2 linked regions of the Alligator mississippiensis genome follow. The protein of the gene in region 1 interacts with the protein of each later gene in a pairwise test. Links are inferred from orthologs where the notes say so. Each region holds a gene or a part of one and is shown in the gene's direction. Other genes may lie near its edges.

Region 1 (7,748 bases):
GGCTGCCCTGCCCTGCCCTGCCAGGGGGCGGTCCCCAGTGCTGGCACCAGCCCATCCCCTCAGGTACCAGCCTGAGGGTGCTGAGCAAGGCCTGGCTGGGATGGGAGCACATGACGCTGCTCCCCCTCACCCCCCCAGCCACCCGCCCCTCGCCCCCATGGCCGACGGCCCAGCACTTTATATAGGCAGCAATGCGGTGCTGGCTCACAGTGCCCTGGCCCCCACCCAAGCAACCCAGCCTGTCCGGGCCCTTGCTGGCACCAGAGCAGAGCAGCTGAGATCGTGTTTCCAGGGATCCAACCCCAGAGCAGGAAGGGGCCAGCAGCTGCAGGGCACCATGATTTATGGGGGGGAACAGTCCTGGGGCCCAGCTCACGTCCACCCCACAGAGTCTGGTGGTGGGCATCAGCCTGGGAGGGTGCTGAGACTGGTCTCGGGCCTCAGGGCCTGGTTGGTGTCGGGACATCCCCAGTGCCCTTGGGGGAGCAGTGGCTTGGGCAGCTCCCAGGTGCAAAAGGCACAATGACCCCTGGCAGGGAGTGGGGCTCGGGGAAGAAGCGTTAAGGGATGAGGTCACAGTGGGCACTGGAGTAGACCGAGGACAGGGGGGCAGCAGGGGCTCTGTGCTGGGGGTGCAGGGCTGAGGCCTTGCCCGGAGAGTGCCCAGTGCATGGGATGGGCGCAGGCTCGGGGCTGTGCCAAACACCGGAGTTTGACACATCAGCGTAACCTGAGCTCTGGCCCCTGGCACCACGGCTGGGAGACAGGAATGCTGGGGGTCAGGCTGAGCCGGACCCTGCAGGCTCCCCAGAAGGGGCTGGTCCCAGGGGCACTGCTAAGACCCCCATGTGCCCCCCTCTGGGCAATTGATTGCCTGCTGTGTGCCCTTCCTGCGGGCACCTGGGACTGTGGCTGGGCTGGCAGTGCCCACGGGGCACCCTGCCTCACTCCAGCTCCCTGCTGGCTCTGGGGGCTGGAACAGGACTGGATCTTGCCCAGGGATCTGCTCAAGGGCCCCTGGGGTGGACGGGGGTGGAGGCAGCAGGTGCAGGGACAGCAGCTGTGCAGAGGGGTGCGGGCCCCGCCTGCGTATGCTGGGCCGGGAGATCAGGTTTCAGCCCAGCCCTGCAGGCAGCTCTGGGGGGATCTCCCTGCTCAGGCTGGGGCTCCTGCCAGGCTCCACTGGCTGGGGGGGTGCACAAGCACAAGCTGGGGTTTGTACATGTATCCAGGGGCCTGCATGTAAGGCCTGGAAGGGGCTGTGACCCTGACACACTGAGGACCTAAATCCTACTGCTCCCACCCTGCCCAGGCACCCAGCTGCGTCCACTGGTGTCCCCTGTCTTGTGCACATCTGTAGGGCCCACATGTGGAGTACGCAGGGGCTACATGCAGTGTGTAGCATGTCCCGGCACCCGGGGAGCAGGCCATGCCAGTCAAGGCCTTGGAGAAGAGCCACAGTATGTGCATGTGTGTGTGTGGAGGGGAGTGGGGTGCGGGCTGGCTGGCACCTGCCCCTGGCCAGGACCTGGCACCACCTCAGCCAGCCCCTGCCTCGGGCACAGGCCCAAAGCACCCCCAGCTGGGCGCCCCTGTCTGGAGGTCACCTTGCCGTGGGCATCACAAGGCCAGGCGTGATCTTGGCTGGAAATATCACGGCACAGGCAGGTGGCCACAGGCAGGGCCAAAATTAGCAGCAGGGCAGGAGCCAGCTGGTTGGAGCTGGGTCCTGCTGTCCCCCGGAGGTGCTGAGACCCCGCCGGATGTGTGTGTGTGTGGGGGGGGGAGTGGGACATGGGACCACCTGGCACCCTGCTGAAAGTTGGAGCCCCCCAGCCTGGGGCAGCCACAGCACAGCCTGGCAGGCACTAGCCCATGCTCCTCCAGGAGTGCTCAGGGCAGCTGTGGGCAAGCTAATCCAGCAGGCTATCTGGGGGTCTTCCAGCCCCAGGGCAAGGGCTGAGCTCCAGGAATAGGCTGCAGCATGTACGACAGTCACTAAACCAGCTCGGCACTGGCTCAAAATAGCAGGACCCACCTGACTGGGGGCCAACCAGGATCTCCCTGGGGGACTAGAGGCACCACAGGGGAAGGGGGCATTGTGGGGCAAGGCCTGCAGCCCCATCATTCTATGCCCCAGGGCCCAGGTGCTCTTGGCCCTGTGCCCACTCCCCACCTGCCAAACACGTTGGGGTGGGGAGGTCACAGCAGCCTGTGCCCAGATCTATGTTGAACCCCCTGCTGCACCAGCCTTCAAGGGACCCATATTGCCATCATCACCCCTCCCCCCACCCCACTTCCAGGCCAGGGGGTGTTCACCATGTTCCCCTCCTACACTGTCTGCTCATGGAAACTGAGGCAAGTGTGATGGCAGAAATTGGCTCTGCATTTCTTCATGCACATGCCTGCACATGCACATGCCCATGGCAAGAGCCTGCAGTGACCTGCCCACATACCTCCACCCTGCCCCCTCAGCTGTGCTGGGCCCTGGGGCATCGCAAGGCTGGGGGAGCTGGTGCTGGGCCTGGGGGGAACCCCCCACCCCAGGCAGTCCTGGTAGGGGTGCCCTGTGCAATGACCTCTGAGCTGATCCGCTGGATCATGAGAATTCAATCCCAGCAGGCTGGGCCGGTCGGGGGGGGGGGGGGAGGGCGGGTGAGCCAGTATTTTTAGAGCCAGCTGGGCAGGCAGGTCGGGTTTCCCACAGTGCCTGTATCTGCACTGCTGGCCTGGCCTGAACAGGCCCACGGCGCCAAGAGGCCCATCCTGGCGCCCGACCCCTCGCTCAGTGCCTGCCTGCACCCAGCTGGGCCACAGCAGCTCCAGCGTTGGGCCATGGCCTGGGCACTTCAGCAGGAGGTGGAGGAGGAGGTGTCTCCTCCCAGCTTCCCCTGGGCTGCCCTGGGACACCTGCCCTGACTCCCCAGCCCAGCCCCACCAGCAGCTGCTGCCCCTGTTCTCAGGACCTGCCCCTTCCCCTGCTGCTGGCTCTCCCACCCTGAAGGTCCAATGCAGGCCCTGGGAGGCACAGAGCAAGCACTAATTACCGCAGCCCCAGCTGGTGCCTGTGATTACCGCTGTGCTCGGTAATTATGGCCTGTCCCCACTGGGCCAAGCCCTGCCAGTGCTGGCCCAGTTCTCTGTTCTCCTCAGCTGGACCCATGGGAGCCATTGTGCCACCTGTGCCCCCAGCCAGCCCAGCAATGCCAAAGCCTGGTCCCAGGGAGGGAAGGGCCCTGAGGAGCCTAGGGGCATCTCCAGCTGCCACAGGGAGTGGGGCTGAGCCCAACAGCCAGAGGCAGCTCTGCCCTGGTGCAGCCACTGTCTGTGCTGAGCTGGGGCAGCTGTGCTGTCCTGCAAGGGCTTTCAGACTGCCAGGCCCTGCTGGGTCTGGGGACAGCTGAGCCTGGGGAGGAGGGGGCTAAAGGGGGCTGCCTCTCTGCAGGGGGCACAGGAGGGCCTGGGAGTGGCCTAAGGCAGTGCTGAGTGGGGGGGGGGGGGGCACAACCATGTGCACATGCACTCATACACATGCACACTCACACACACAAGCACACATGCACTCACAAGAAAGCGCACACACAGATACGTGCAAACAGGCACACATGCAAACACACAAACCCAAAGACAAATGCATACACAAGCAAACACACAAACCCAAAGACAAATGCATACACAAGCAAACACACATGCGAGGAGTAGTCCATCTATTGGCTCCTCTGTGAAATCCTATGAAATATGAACTTTCATTTCGACCCAGGAGAACTTTCACAATCTTTTCTCCAATGCCTCATCAAGGGTGTTTGCGCCTGAAAACTTGCAATTAAAGAACTTCTTTTGTTGCAAAAACGTAGTTGGTCTAATACAAGATACTATCTCTACTACGAGTCCCGACTGCGTTTTCCTTCAGACCAATAGGGCTACAATCCGGATACCTGACAACATACACACGTGCGCGCACACACGCCACCATGCATGAGCACACTCCTGCGGTCCCGGCTGCTCGGCGCTGCCCCCTGGCGGCCCCGGAGGGGCGGGGCGTGCAGAGGCGGCGGCGCTGCGGGACTCGGTGTCACCTCTCCCGGGCCGGGCCGGGCCGGGCCGGGCCGGGCCGGGCCGGGCGCTCGGGGAACCTGGCTCGGGGGCCCGGCCTGCTCGGCTCGGCTCGGCTCTGGCCCCGCGGCTCCCGCCTTCCGGGCCCAGGGCGGCTCCGTGCCCGCATGGAAGGGCTGGCGGGAGCCACTGCCAGGGGCCTGCTTCCAGGGAAACTGAGGCACCGGGCAGGGCCCCGCTTGCAAGAGCCTGGGCCGCGGCTGCAGATTCGGGGGCGGAGGGAGGATCGGGGCCCTTCAGGGGATGCCACCGGCGGGCGTAGGAGCCTACCCCGAGGCCCGGCTGCCAGGCGCGGCCCCGCTCCCCCGACGGAGATGCAGAAGCGGGAGGGCCGACCCGGGACGGGGGCTGCGGGACCCCGGCGGGGCGGGGCGGGGCGGACCGGGGGCCGCCGGGTTCAGCCCCGCTCCGCAGGGTCCGCACGGCCGCGGCCGCTGTCCAGCGCTGGGCGGGGCCGGCCCCGATCCGGGGGGTGGAGGGCGGCGGGGGCTGGGCGAGGCGTGCCCCGCCCACGACGGCCCCGGGGGGCGGGGCGCGGTGCATTGTGGGACCGCCCCCAGCGGCAGGTGAGCGGGGCGGCGGGGATGCTGTAGCGCGGCGCGGCGCGGCCGGGCAGGTGTGTGCGGGGGTCATGGCTGGTCCCGGGCGGGCCCCGAGGCTCGGGCCCCCGTGCCCGGGCTGTGCCCCGGGGCAGGTCCGTGCCGGTGCAGCGCTGCCCTGGCAGGGACCCGCGGGGTAGGCTCCGTGCCCAGGCTGCAGGGCCATGCCCCAGCGCCTGGCAGGGTCATGGGCCCCCGTACCCGTGCCCGGGCTATGGGCTGTGGCCCCATGCAGGGCTCCGTGCTGTGGCAGGATGGTGCACAGGTGCACTGATGCCCTGGCTGGGTCCTGGGCAGGCCCCATGGCTTGGCCCCCGTGCCCAGGCTGCACGCCGTGGCCAGGCTCTGGGGACCCCCGTCTGGGGGCAAGCGGTGCTTTGCTCCGTGCCTGCAGCTGTGCACGCGTGGGCTTGCTCACATGTGTGCTGTGGGCCAGCGAGTGCAGACGCACTCCCTGGGCACCAGCTGACAGGACCAGTTCCCGTGCTCCACCCTGCGCAGGGCAAGCTGGGGCCCATCTGTGCCTCTGGCTGGGGCTGTGTCTGGTGCCGCCCGGGCCATGGAGCTCCCACGCCCCGCCTGTGCCCACCCACAGGGACTTGCCAGCGCCTTCGTGTCCCTGCCCTGCTACCCCCACCTGCCCCTTGGCCTGGTGCTGAGGACTGTGTTGCTTCAGCAGGTGGGCAGGCAGGCGACACCATGTCGGTGGTGGCAGGGCTGGGTGAGGGCACTGGGGGCCGGCCAACAGCGGACGACATCGTGGCCAGCACACGGCAGGTGGTGAAGGGGCTGGAAGCACTGCGCAGTGAGAACTGTGCCATCCTGCTGCAGCTGCAGGGCAGCCTGCACTGCTGTCCCGATGCCGCGCCTGGGACGGAGCTGGAACCCCCGTCTGCCGGGGACTGGGCCCTGGAGCTACTGGAGGAGAAGCACGAGCTCGTCTGCAGGATCTTGGAGGGCATCGAGCTGGGGCTCGGGGAGGCGCAGGTGTGGGGCTGCCAGGGCACAGGGGTAGGAGCTGGGGGGGCCTTGGGGTTGCTTCAGCCCCAGCCTGGAGCTTGGGGGAGTCAGAGCTGGGGAGGGGGTAGGAGCTGGCGGGAGGGGGCACAGCCGACCCCACTGACCCCTGTCCTCACAGCTCCTGCTGGCACTGTCGTCCCATGTCGGGGCGCTGGAGGCAGAGAAGCAGAAGCTGCGGGCTCAGGCCAAGCGGCTGGGCCAGGAGAACCAGTGGCTGTGGGAGGAGCTGGCGGGCACCCAGCAGCGCCTGCAGCAGAGCCAGGAGGCCGTGGCCCAGCTGGAGGAGGAGAAGCGGCACCTCGAGTTCCTGAACCAGCTCAAGCAGTACGAGGGCCGTGACGAGCTGGTGAGAGCACTGGGACCTGCCCATGCCCCGAACCCCACACAGGCTAGAACCTGACCTCCCTGTCCCAGTGCTGGAGCACAGGGCCTGGCTCAGGGACACAGAGCAGCCCTATGGGGCAGGTGCATAGGGAGGTCCCCGCTGCTTCATGGCCCCACTGTGCCCCCAGCTGGAGAAGGACGAGGCACCAGAGCGTGATGACGGGCTAAGCGGGCTCTTCACAGGCGATGAGGAAACGCGGCCGGGTGTGTGCGGGCGGCTGGCGCGGGGGCTTAAGCTGGGGGCAGTGTTGCGGGGGACAGTGTTGGGGGGGGTAGGGCTCCCCATCCATCCTGCCCCCGCCCCAGCACCAGATCTGCCCTTGGCTGCTGGCTGGGGGGGGCCGGGAGCAACTGCCCCCAGCTGATGCCTGTCACCCCCCAAGATGGTGTGGCGGGGAACGCAGCCCAGCCAGGTGGTTACGAGATCCCGGCGCGGCTGCGGACACTGCACAACCTGGTGATCCAGTACGCAGCCCAGGGTCGCTACGAGGTGGCTGTGCCTCTCTGCAAGCAGGCACTGGAGGACCTGGAGAAGAGCTCAGGCCACAACCACCCCGACGTGGCCACCATGCTTAACATCCTGGCCCTCGTCTACCGGTGAGGCCCCCCCAGCTAGCATGTGGGACCCTGGCTGGCCCCTTCCCGGGGCACATGGGACCCTGGCCAGTCCCTGCCTGGGGCACACGGGATCCCAACTGGCCACCTCTGGGCACGCGGGACCCCAGCCAGCACGCCCTGGGACACAGCTCTGCCCGTCTGCCAGGGACCAGAACAAGTACAAGGAGGCCACGGAGCTGCTGAATGATGCGCTGGACATCCGGGAGCAGACCCTGGGCGCCGAGCACCCAGCCGTGAGCGGGGCAGGGGAAGGGGTTCCCTGTGAGGGGCTTCAGGGCCTGACCCACACCCCCAAGTCCGGCCCCAGGGAGGCAGGCCAGGGCTGGGCACCAGCATGTGCCAAGGGGAGGTCCCTTGGCCCTGCCCCCTCCCCATGGGACTGGAGTAGCTCTCCCCCCCCCCCCCACTGGCTCCTGCCCCCACCCTGCATGGGGCTGCGTAGATGGGGTGGGGGGGGGTGGGCACAGAGCTGGGCTCTGAGCCCCCTCTCCCTCACAGGTGGCTGCCACGCTGAACAACCTGGCAGTGCTGTACGGCAAGCGTGGCCGGTACAAGGAGGCTGAGCCGCTGTGCCAGCGGGCACTGGAGATCCGTGAGAAGGTGCTGCCCTCCAACCTGTGCCCCCACTCCCCCGCGCGATGCAGGGCAGAGCCTGACTCTTCCCCCCACTCCGTGCTGCAGGTCCTGGGCACTGACCACCCTGATGTGGCCAAGCAGCTCAACAACCTGGCGCTGCTGTGCCAGAACCAGGGCAAGTTCGCAGCAGTGGAGCAGTACTACGCCCGTGCCCTGCGCATCTACCAGGCCCGACTCGGCCCCCGTGACCCCAGCGTGGCCAAGACCAAGAACAACCTGGTGCCTGGGCTTCGGGGGGCACCGGTGCAGATGGGTTAATGGTGGGGGGGGGAGGGGATGGCTCTGGCATGCAGAGGGTTAAGGGGGCAGTTTTGCCCCCCTCACTGTGCCCTGCCCTCTTCGCCCCTCCCACAGGCCTCCTCATACCTGAAGCAGGGC
Region 2 (7,858 bases), on another chromosome or scaffold:
CACCCGGAAGCTGCTTCCTCCCGATATTTTTTCCAAGTCTCTTCCTAAAAATCAAAAACTTAAATTTCGAAATAATAATAAGGTAAAAAAAAGAAATGGGGGGCGGAATTAAAGAAAAGGGGCAGGGCGAATTTCGCTTGACGTCAGTTCCGGCCCGCACCCGAAAGTCGTATTCCCCCTTTAATATATACTTGGCCGGGGGCAGGAACCCCTCCAAGACCGGGTTTAAATCCCAGCAAGTAAAGATAATTCACGCGGGTGACGAAACCAATAAAAAGAGGCCGGCCTGAGCGTGTGACGTCACATCCGGGGATTCACACCCGGAAGTCGCCCATAAATAAGTTGTGGGCTTTTTTTAGTGTTTTCGAACAGTAAATCTGTTTAAATCCCTGAAACAGTAAATTCACTGGTGAGAAATGAAAAAAAGAAAAAAGCAGGGGGCTGGTCCGACGACGAGGCTTGAGGTCACTTCCGGGGTCAGGGGCTGGGCGACCCGGAAGTGCAGGCTGAGTGCGGAGTCCCGGGTGCGCGGGGCTCCTTTGTGGGGGGGGGGCGCTTGGAATGTTGGGGGCGCTCATTTGCATATGTGCGCGGCGGCGCGCGGGAGGGGCCTTTGGGGGTGTTTCCGGGGCATTTAGGGGCTCGGGGGGTCTTTGGAGGCCCTGGCACCCTCCGGGCTGGGTTGAGCGGGTGGCGGGGCACCCCCTGGCGGGGAGGCTTCCCGGCAGCCTCGCGTTCGCCCTGACCTGTGCGTGGGGCGGACAGGACCAAGAAGGGAGAGGGCTGGGGGAAGCAAGGGACTGCCCCCCCCCCCCCCCGGGGGAGGGGGTTGGGGCCGCCCCTCACCCCCATTCCTGCCCCCAGGGCTCTGGGCCGCCATGTCCAAGCGGAAGGTGACGTTCGAGGACCCGGACGACGACGACGACCTGGGGGGGCTGCCCAAGAAGCGTGGGGTGAGTGCGGGGGGGGGGGGGGGGCTCTGGGAGCCTGGGGCTGCGTCACCTCGTACTCAAGGTGGGGTGAAGTCCTGGAGGAAGGGGGCGGAGCTTGACGATGACCACGCCCCTTAACCGCACATAGGTGCAGGAGGCGGAGCCCGGCGGCCCCGGGAGCCGGTTCAAGGGGAAGCACTCATTGGACAGCGACGAGGAGGACGAGGATGAAGAAGCTGCCGGGGGCGGGATCTTGGCCCCGGAGGACGTGGAGGGTGAGTGGGGGTCAAGGGGCGGGGCTTGCGGGGTCAGGGGGCGGGGCCTGCACTGGTAGGCCGCAACCAGCAGCCAGAGGCTCCTCGCCTCTTGGTAGCTGGGGGCGGGACCTGTTGTGAAGGCTGTCCGTCACCGGTGGGTGGGCGGAGCCTAGTCTGGCGGCCCCTTACTAAGGACCGCAGGTGCAGTGGGTGGGTCTTCGTGGCTGTGGGCGGGGCCTGGGATGGTTATCCTGTGGGCGGGGCTTACCAGCGGCGCTGGATGCTGTCTATCACAGACGTGGGGGTATTGGGTGGGCTGGCGGGTGGGCGGAGCCTGAAGCCGCCCGTCACGCAGGCCAGGAGCCGGGCTCGGTGCTGGAGGAGGAGGGGGTGCGCTTCACGCCCTTCAACCTGCGGGAGGAGCTGGCCGAGGGCCACTTCGACGCCGCCGGCAACTACTTCCCCCGCGGCGACGACGGGCCCCCAGACGCCTGGCTCGACTCGCTCGACTGGGTGAGGCCTGGCATAGGAGTGGGAGACACTGCGGGGCAACGCAACGGCACTGGGAGGCATTGGGGAGAACTGGGATGGGAGGAGAGGGACACTGGGAGACACTGGGGTGGGAGGAGGGGGCTTTGTAGGGTACCGGGAGGAACTGGGACAGACTGGGATGGAAGATGGGGAGCCCGGGGAGAGGGGGTGGGAAGGTAGGAGGGAGGTCGCGGGCTGCGCTGGGCCCTGACCCTCCCCTCCCCTCCCCCGCAGGTGACTGTCAAGCCGCTGCCCGCCCGCCGCCGGGGGCAGTCCCAGCAGGGAGGGGGCAGCCCCGAAGCGGAGGGGACGGAGCCCGGCCGGGAATCCCCGCCCCTCCCAGACCCCCAGGCGGCGCTGGAGGGGCTGGTGGAGCTGGTGGGGCCGGGGGAGACGGTGGCTCGGGCCATCCAGCGCTTGGGCGGGGGCGGGGCCCGGCCCAGGGGGCGGGGGCGGGGCCGCGGGCGGGGCCGCGGGCGGGGGCGGGGCCGGCAGGCAGAGGTGGAGCCAGCACCGGAGCCAGAGCCGGAGCCAGAGCCGCCCGAGGAGGTCGAGAGGCGGGGCCGGCTGGAGCGGCTCTCGGGATTGGCCGACCTCATGGTGGCACGGGGCCACTACGGCGTCTACCAGGAGACGCGGGAGCGCCTGGCCCTCCGCCTCCGGGCCTTGGCCCCGCCCTCTGCCCAGGCCACGCCCACTGGCCCCACCCTCGACATGTTTGCTGAGGAGGTGGATGAGGCGGCTCTTCGAACCCAGGAGTCTGGTGAGCCTGGCGGGGCGGGGCGGGGCGGGGCAGGGGGCGTTGCCTGTGAGAGGGCGGGGCTGAGCTGTGCCCTCCTCCCGCAGGGGGCGGGGCCGTGGCCGTGGCGGAGGCGGCGCTGGACGAGGTGCTGTGGGAGTACAAGTGGGAGAACACGGCGGGGGCGGAGCTCTACGGGCCCTTCAGCAGCAGCCAGATGCAGGTGGGATGGCTCCGCCCCAGACTCAGCCGCATCCTGGCGGCCGCGCCCCACAGCCGCCCGCTGCATGTGACAGGCCGGGGGGCCCATGCTGGCAGCATACAGGGCGGGGAGGACCGCACTGGTGTTGCACACGTGTGGGGGGCCGTGTTGATGTGACGTGTGAGGGGAAGCCATGCTAGTGGGGGGCACCTCCATTGATGAGGCGCCTGTTGTGGGGAACGCGATGGAGGACCCGTATTGACGCGGCACCCGTAGTGGGGCCCCACATTGGCTTGTCATGCGGGTGGGGATGCGTGTTGATGCGGTGTGTGTTGAGAGGGACCCATGTCGGTGTGATACACGGGGATGACCTGTATTGGTGGACACATGGGAGGGACCATACGGGCCCGGAACAAGGGGGAACACCACATTGGTGCACGTGGTGGGTGGGGGAGCCATATTGGTGTGACGCGGCTAGACATGGGGGACCCTTATTAGTGTGACACGGGGGGGGGGGCCTTTGGGGGTGCCTTCCCCTAAATGGTCCCCCAACGTGGGCTCCCCCATGTGCGTTTGGATATGGGTCCCCCCAGTGTGTGTGTGTGTGTGTGTGTCCAATACAGTTCCTCCCGTGTCTCTTCAGTGTGGGTCCCCCCCTTACATGCATCCCTTTGTGTATCATCCCAATTTATGTTCCCGGGGGGTGTCCCCAGTATCATCCCCTCCCCGGTGTCCTCACTTTGGGCCCTGCCGTGTGTGTCTGTGTCTCATTGATATGGGTCCCTCTGTGTGTGTGTGGGGGGGGGGGTCTTCCTCCCTCCCTCCCCAGGGTGTGTCCGCAATATGGGTTTCCTCCATATGTTTGTGAGCGTGACCCCAAGATGGGTCCCCTCCCCACACGCATGTGTGTGTCCCCAATTAGGGCCCCCATATATGTGTGTGTGTGCCTGTCCACCCACCCCCAATTAGAACCCCCCATGTGTGTATGTGTGCTTGTCTCTGATATGGGTCTGTGTGTGTGTCCAATTAGGGCCCCCCATATATGTGTGTGTGTGTGTGCGCGTCCGTGTGTCTTACTGACATGGGTCCCTGTGTGTGTGTCCACCCCCATGTGCGTGTTCTCTATATGGGTTCCCACCGTGCATGCGTGCACACATTTCTCCCCAGTATCAGTTCTCTCATAGGTGTCTCCCTGATGTGCCCCCCCTCCCCCCCCATGGGTGTGTGTCCATATGTGTTTCCCCAATATGGATCTTCCTGTGTGTGTGTGTCTTCCCACTTTGGCCCCCCCATGTGTGTGTGTCTCCCCACGTGCATGTTGCACATGTCCCCCTGCATGTGTCTCCCCAATATGGGTCCCCTGTACGTGTGCATCTCTAGTGCAGGTCCCACCCAAGCGTGCATCACCCTGATATGGCGACGTCCCTGTGTGTGTGTGTCTCCCTGATACGAGTCCCTCTCTGTGTGCGTCACGGTAGTATGGGTCCCCTGTATGCGTGCATTTCCCTCGTGTGTGAGTTCCCCTTATATGGAGACGCCCCAGCTCCGTGTGTGGTTCTGGTGGGTCCTGCCCCATGCGTGTCACCCCTATATAAGTCTTCTGTGTGCACACATTGCCTCAACATGGTTCCCCCATACGTGCACCCCCATTTTCCATCCTGTCAGCGTGTGTGTCACTCTAATATGGGTCCCCCCATAACCATGTTGGTGCATCACATGATCTGTGCCCGTGTGTGTGACCCCCCTGCCCTACCCCAGAGCAGGCTGCAGCCTGGGGTGCCTGTCATGCCCAGCCCATGACACCCGCTGCCCCATAGCCAGCTGCATGGCGCCGTTCCACTCGTGCCCCCCCGCCTCAGCCACATCTCTCCCCCGACTCACCCCCTCGTCTCTCTCTCCCCCGCAGGAGTGGGTGTCCGAGGGCTACTTCGCGGACGGGGTTTACTGCCGGAAGTTGGACCCGCCGGGCGGGCAGTTTTACAGCTCCAAGCGCATCGACTTTGACCTCTATACGTGACCCCCGAGGCCCAGATTTTCAGGGCAGTCCCAGCCTGGAGACTTTGGGGGGAGGGATCTTTGTGTACACAGGTTTGGATTAAAAATGTCGTGTTTCACCCCAGAGCTGGCTGCCGCTCCGTTCTACCTGGCCTCTAGCTGCCCGCTCACAGCAGGGGAAGGCTCCCTAGAGCCAGCTGCATGGGGGCACCTATATAAGTGTAACGCGCGTGGGGGCAGGGGGGCTTGATTTTGGGGAGACCGCTGCATCATAGGAACCGTACATGGGGGGAACTTATATATATATGTATATATATGTGAGTGAGACACACGTATGTCTTTGTGGGGGTCCTAGTTTTAGGGAGACGCATAGCGTTGGGGGGGACCTATATAGGTGTGACACACGGGCCATCCTGATTTGGGGAGACAGCTGTATCATAGGAACTTCCTAGCACTGGGGGCACCCCCATAGGCATGACACATGTATGTGGAGGATTGCGGGGGGCTGTTTTTGAGGTGACGCACCCTGCATTGATGGGGCTGGTGTCCGAGGTCTTTCCAGAGAGACAGACGGGACAGACCCATGGGTGGGGGGGACCCCTTTTAGGGAGACACTGGAGGGGGCAGGTCAGCAGGCTGATACTGGGGTAATGCCCATAGCAGTAAGTGTCCAGGGGCTGGATTTTCAGGGGCTGGGAGCATATTGGTGTGACACCAACCAACCCACAGGGGACCCATATTTGTGTGACACACAGGAGGCAAAAGGTGCTGGGCTTTCTGCGGGGGGATCTATATTGGGGTGACACATGCATGGGGGGATATGAGTGTGACATGAGGGGGGGATGTGCAGTGGGGCAGCTCCCCCCTCCAGGGTGTGACACAGTAATAGTGGTTCGTGTGGGTGTCTGCTACCCCAGTAGCGGTTCCAGGGGTGTGTTACACCAATAAAAGTCCTCTGGTCACCCCAGGGGGACTGGGGTCACCCCAGTATGGTCTCCCCTTTTGGGTGGCACCCCAGTAGGGGTCCCCTGCATATCTCATACCCCAATAATAGTTGGTAGCGGTGCGTAACAAATGACAGTCCCCAGGGAGGTATGTGCCACCCCAATATGGGCCCCCGCCTTTGGGTGTGTCACCCCAATAGCAGTCCCCTGTGTGTCTGTTACCCCCATAAGGGTTCTCACGTGTGTCACACCGATTAGAGTCCCCCAGAGCTAGATCTGTGCCATTCTCAAAAAGGATCCCACCCCACGTGTCACCCCAGTATAGCCCCCACCCACCTGTGTCACCCCAACATGGGTTCCCTATGGTGTCACTTCATCACGAGTCTTCCTGTCACCCCCCGATATAGCTCCCATCGCGTGTCACCCCAGTACTGGTCACCCCACAATGGGTTCCCGTGATGGAGAGGGGTTGGGGACCCCATGGGGGGGGGGGGGGTCAGGAGGCTGCAGGGGGAGCAGGATTTGCTGTTCCCAGCGGCTGGAGCTGGGGTTTGGAGTGGCTCAGGTGTGCAGGGGGTGGGGCTTGGCGGTGGCCCTGCCCCCTCCGCACCTGGGGTTGGAATCGGGAAGTCAACAGCCTCCCTCCACCGCAGCTGCTGCAGGGAAGCCACGCGTCCAGCTCAGCTAAGCCCCCCGCCCCCCGTATCTCACCCCCCCAGCTGCCCCCTCCCCTATCAGCCAGGGGCAAACCCCAAGCTTCAAACCCCCCCCCCTCCCAGTCCGAAGAGCCCAGGCATCTGGGTCCCCTACCCCCCCCCCCCCCCCGGAAGGAACCCAGGTGTCCTACCCCCCCCCCCAATCCCCTCCCCATTGGTCAGGGAAGGAACCCAGGGGTCCGGGCACCCTACAGCCTCCCTCCCTCTCCCCCTCAGCCAGGTAGAACCCAGGCACCTGGCCCCGGCCCCCCTCCAAAGTCCGGGAAGGACCCCGGGCGTCTGGGCACCCCCTACCATGGCCTTGTGGGAGGATGGGGAGGAGGGGGGGGCGCCAGGGGGGGAGCCAGGGGGAGGGCCACGGCTCGCACGGGTGGAACGGGACCTGGCGCTGGCGGCAGAGCTGGGGCAGCTGCTGCTGGCGGCCAACGAGGAGCTGCGGCGCCAGCAGGAGGCACAGGACCACGACCACGCCCAGGCCCTGGAGGTGAGTGACCCCCCCCCCCCCCCCACCGCCCCAAGATCGGGGCCCCTCCCAGCCAGACCAGTTTGGGACTGGGAGGGGCCCTGGTGACGCACAGGGAGTAAATCAGCTCCACCTGGACTCCTGGGTTCCTTCACGGGGGTGGGGTCCAGATGCCCGGGTCCTCGGGGTGGGGGGAGATTGGAGGGCCGCGGACGCCTGACCTCTCCCCTGCCCCCAGCGGCTGGAGCGGGAGAACCAGGAGCTGAGGGTGGCGCTGGCAGCAGCACGGGCAGAGGGGGAGGGGCGGGCAGCCGAGCTGGAGGCGGAGCTGGCAGTGCTCCAGGCCCCACCCCGCCGGCCAAGCCCTGCCCCCGCCCTTGACCCCGCCCCCCTGGAGTGGGCAGAGCAGAACCAGCGCCTGGCGGAGGAGCTGCAGGAGGTGGGGACCTGGACGCCTGGGTTGGGAGGGAGGGCCAGGAGCCTAGATGCCTGGGTTCCAACCCACCCCACCCCGCCCCGCCCCCCGCAGGCGCTGGAGCGGGAGCGGGGGCTCCGGGCGGAGCTGGCGTCTCTGCGGGAGGAGACGCGGGCGCAGGGGCGGAGCCAGGCCGAGCTGGAGGCCGCGGCCCAGAGCCTGAGTGCAGAGGTGAGACCCCCCAACCCGGGCACCTGTGTCCCCTGCGGGAAGAGGGGGGCGGGCGGAGCGGGACCCAGACACCTGGGTTCGTTGGGCTTTCCGTGTCGCCCTCCCCCCCAGATAGCAGCGCTGCGGGCCCGGGTGGGGGCACTGGAGCAGGAGGCGCGGGAGCTGCGGGCCGAGGCAGAGGCGGCGCAGGGGCAGGCGGAAGCAGCACATGGCCATGGCCTCGTGCTGCGCCGGGAGCTGCACGAGAAGGAGCTCGAGGTACCGGCTGGGGGGCCACGAGGATCATGGCAGGGCCATCCTGGGGCACCTATTCCTTGAGGAACCTAGAACATACGCCCCCAAAGCCTTGCTAGCAACCAAGGGGTCAGCAGGTCTTGATGGACCTAGAACCCACCCACCCAGGAGGGTTGGGGGCCTTGAGGAACCTAGAAAC

What was found.
Region 2: the proteins of KLC3 (region 1) and BICDL2 interact in binary tests that used the Homo sapiens proteins (3 or more experiments, as listed by UniProt). The two-hybrid records come from large-scale screens. The link is inferred for Alligator mississippiensis from reciprocal best matches to the Homo sapiens genes KLC3 and BICDL2.

The regions. Positions count from the first base shown.
Region 1 is NC_081838.1:168,986-176,733, forward strand, and holds the start of KLC3 (kinesin light chain 3), read left to right. Parts: upstream 1-4,742; 5' UTR 4,743-4,985; coding exon 4,986-5,699; intron 5,700-5,850; coding exon 5,851-6,078; intron 6,079-6,244; coding exon 6,245-6,320; intron 6,321-6,499; coding exon 6,500-6,713; intron 6,714-6,879; coding exon 6,880-6,967; intron 6,968-7,232; coding exon 7,233-7,334; intron 7,335-7,415; coding exon 7,416-7,589; intron 7,590-7,724; coding exon 7,725-7,748. UniProt on the Homo sapiens protein: Kinesin is a microtubule-associated force-producing protein that may play a role in organelle transport. Plays a role during spermiogenesis in the development of the sperm tail midpiece and in the normal function of spermatozoa.
Region 2 is NC_081830.1:652,896-660,753, reverse strand, and holds the start of BICDL2 (BICD family-like cargo adapter 2), read left to right. Parts: upstream 1-4,858; 5' UTR 4,859-6,080; coding exon 6,081-6,800; intron 6,801-7,017; coding exon 7,018-7,218; intron 7,219-7,308; coding exon 7,309-7,425; intron 7,426-7,536; coding exon 7,537-7,683; intron 7,684-7,858. Other genes in the region: CD2BP2 (CD2 antigen cytoplasmic tail-binding protein 2), read left to right, coding at 879-953, 1,081-1,207, 1,545-1,702, 1,955-2,483, 2,567-2,682, 4,568-4,678.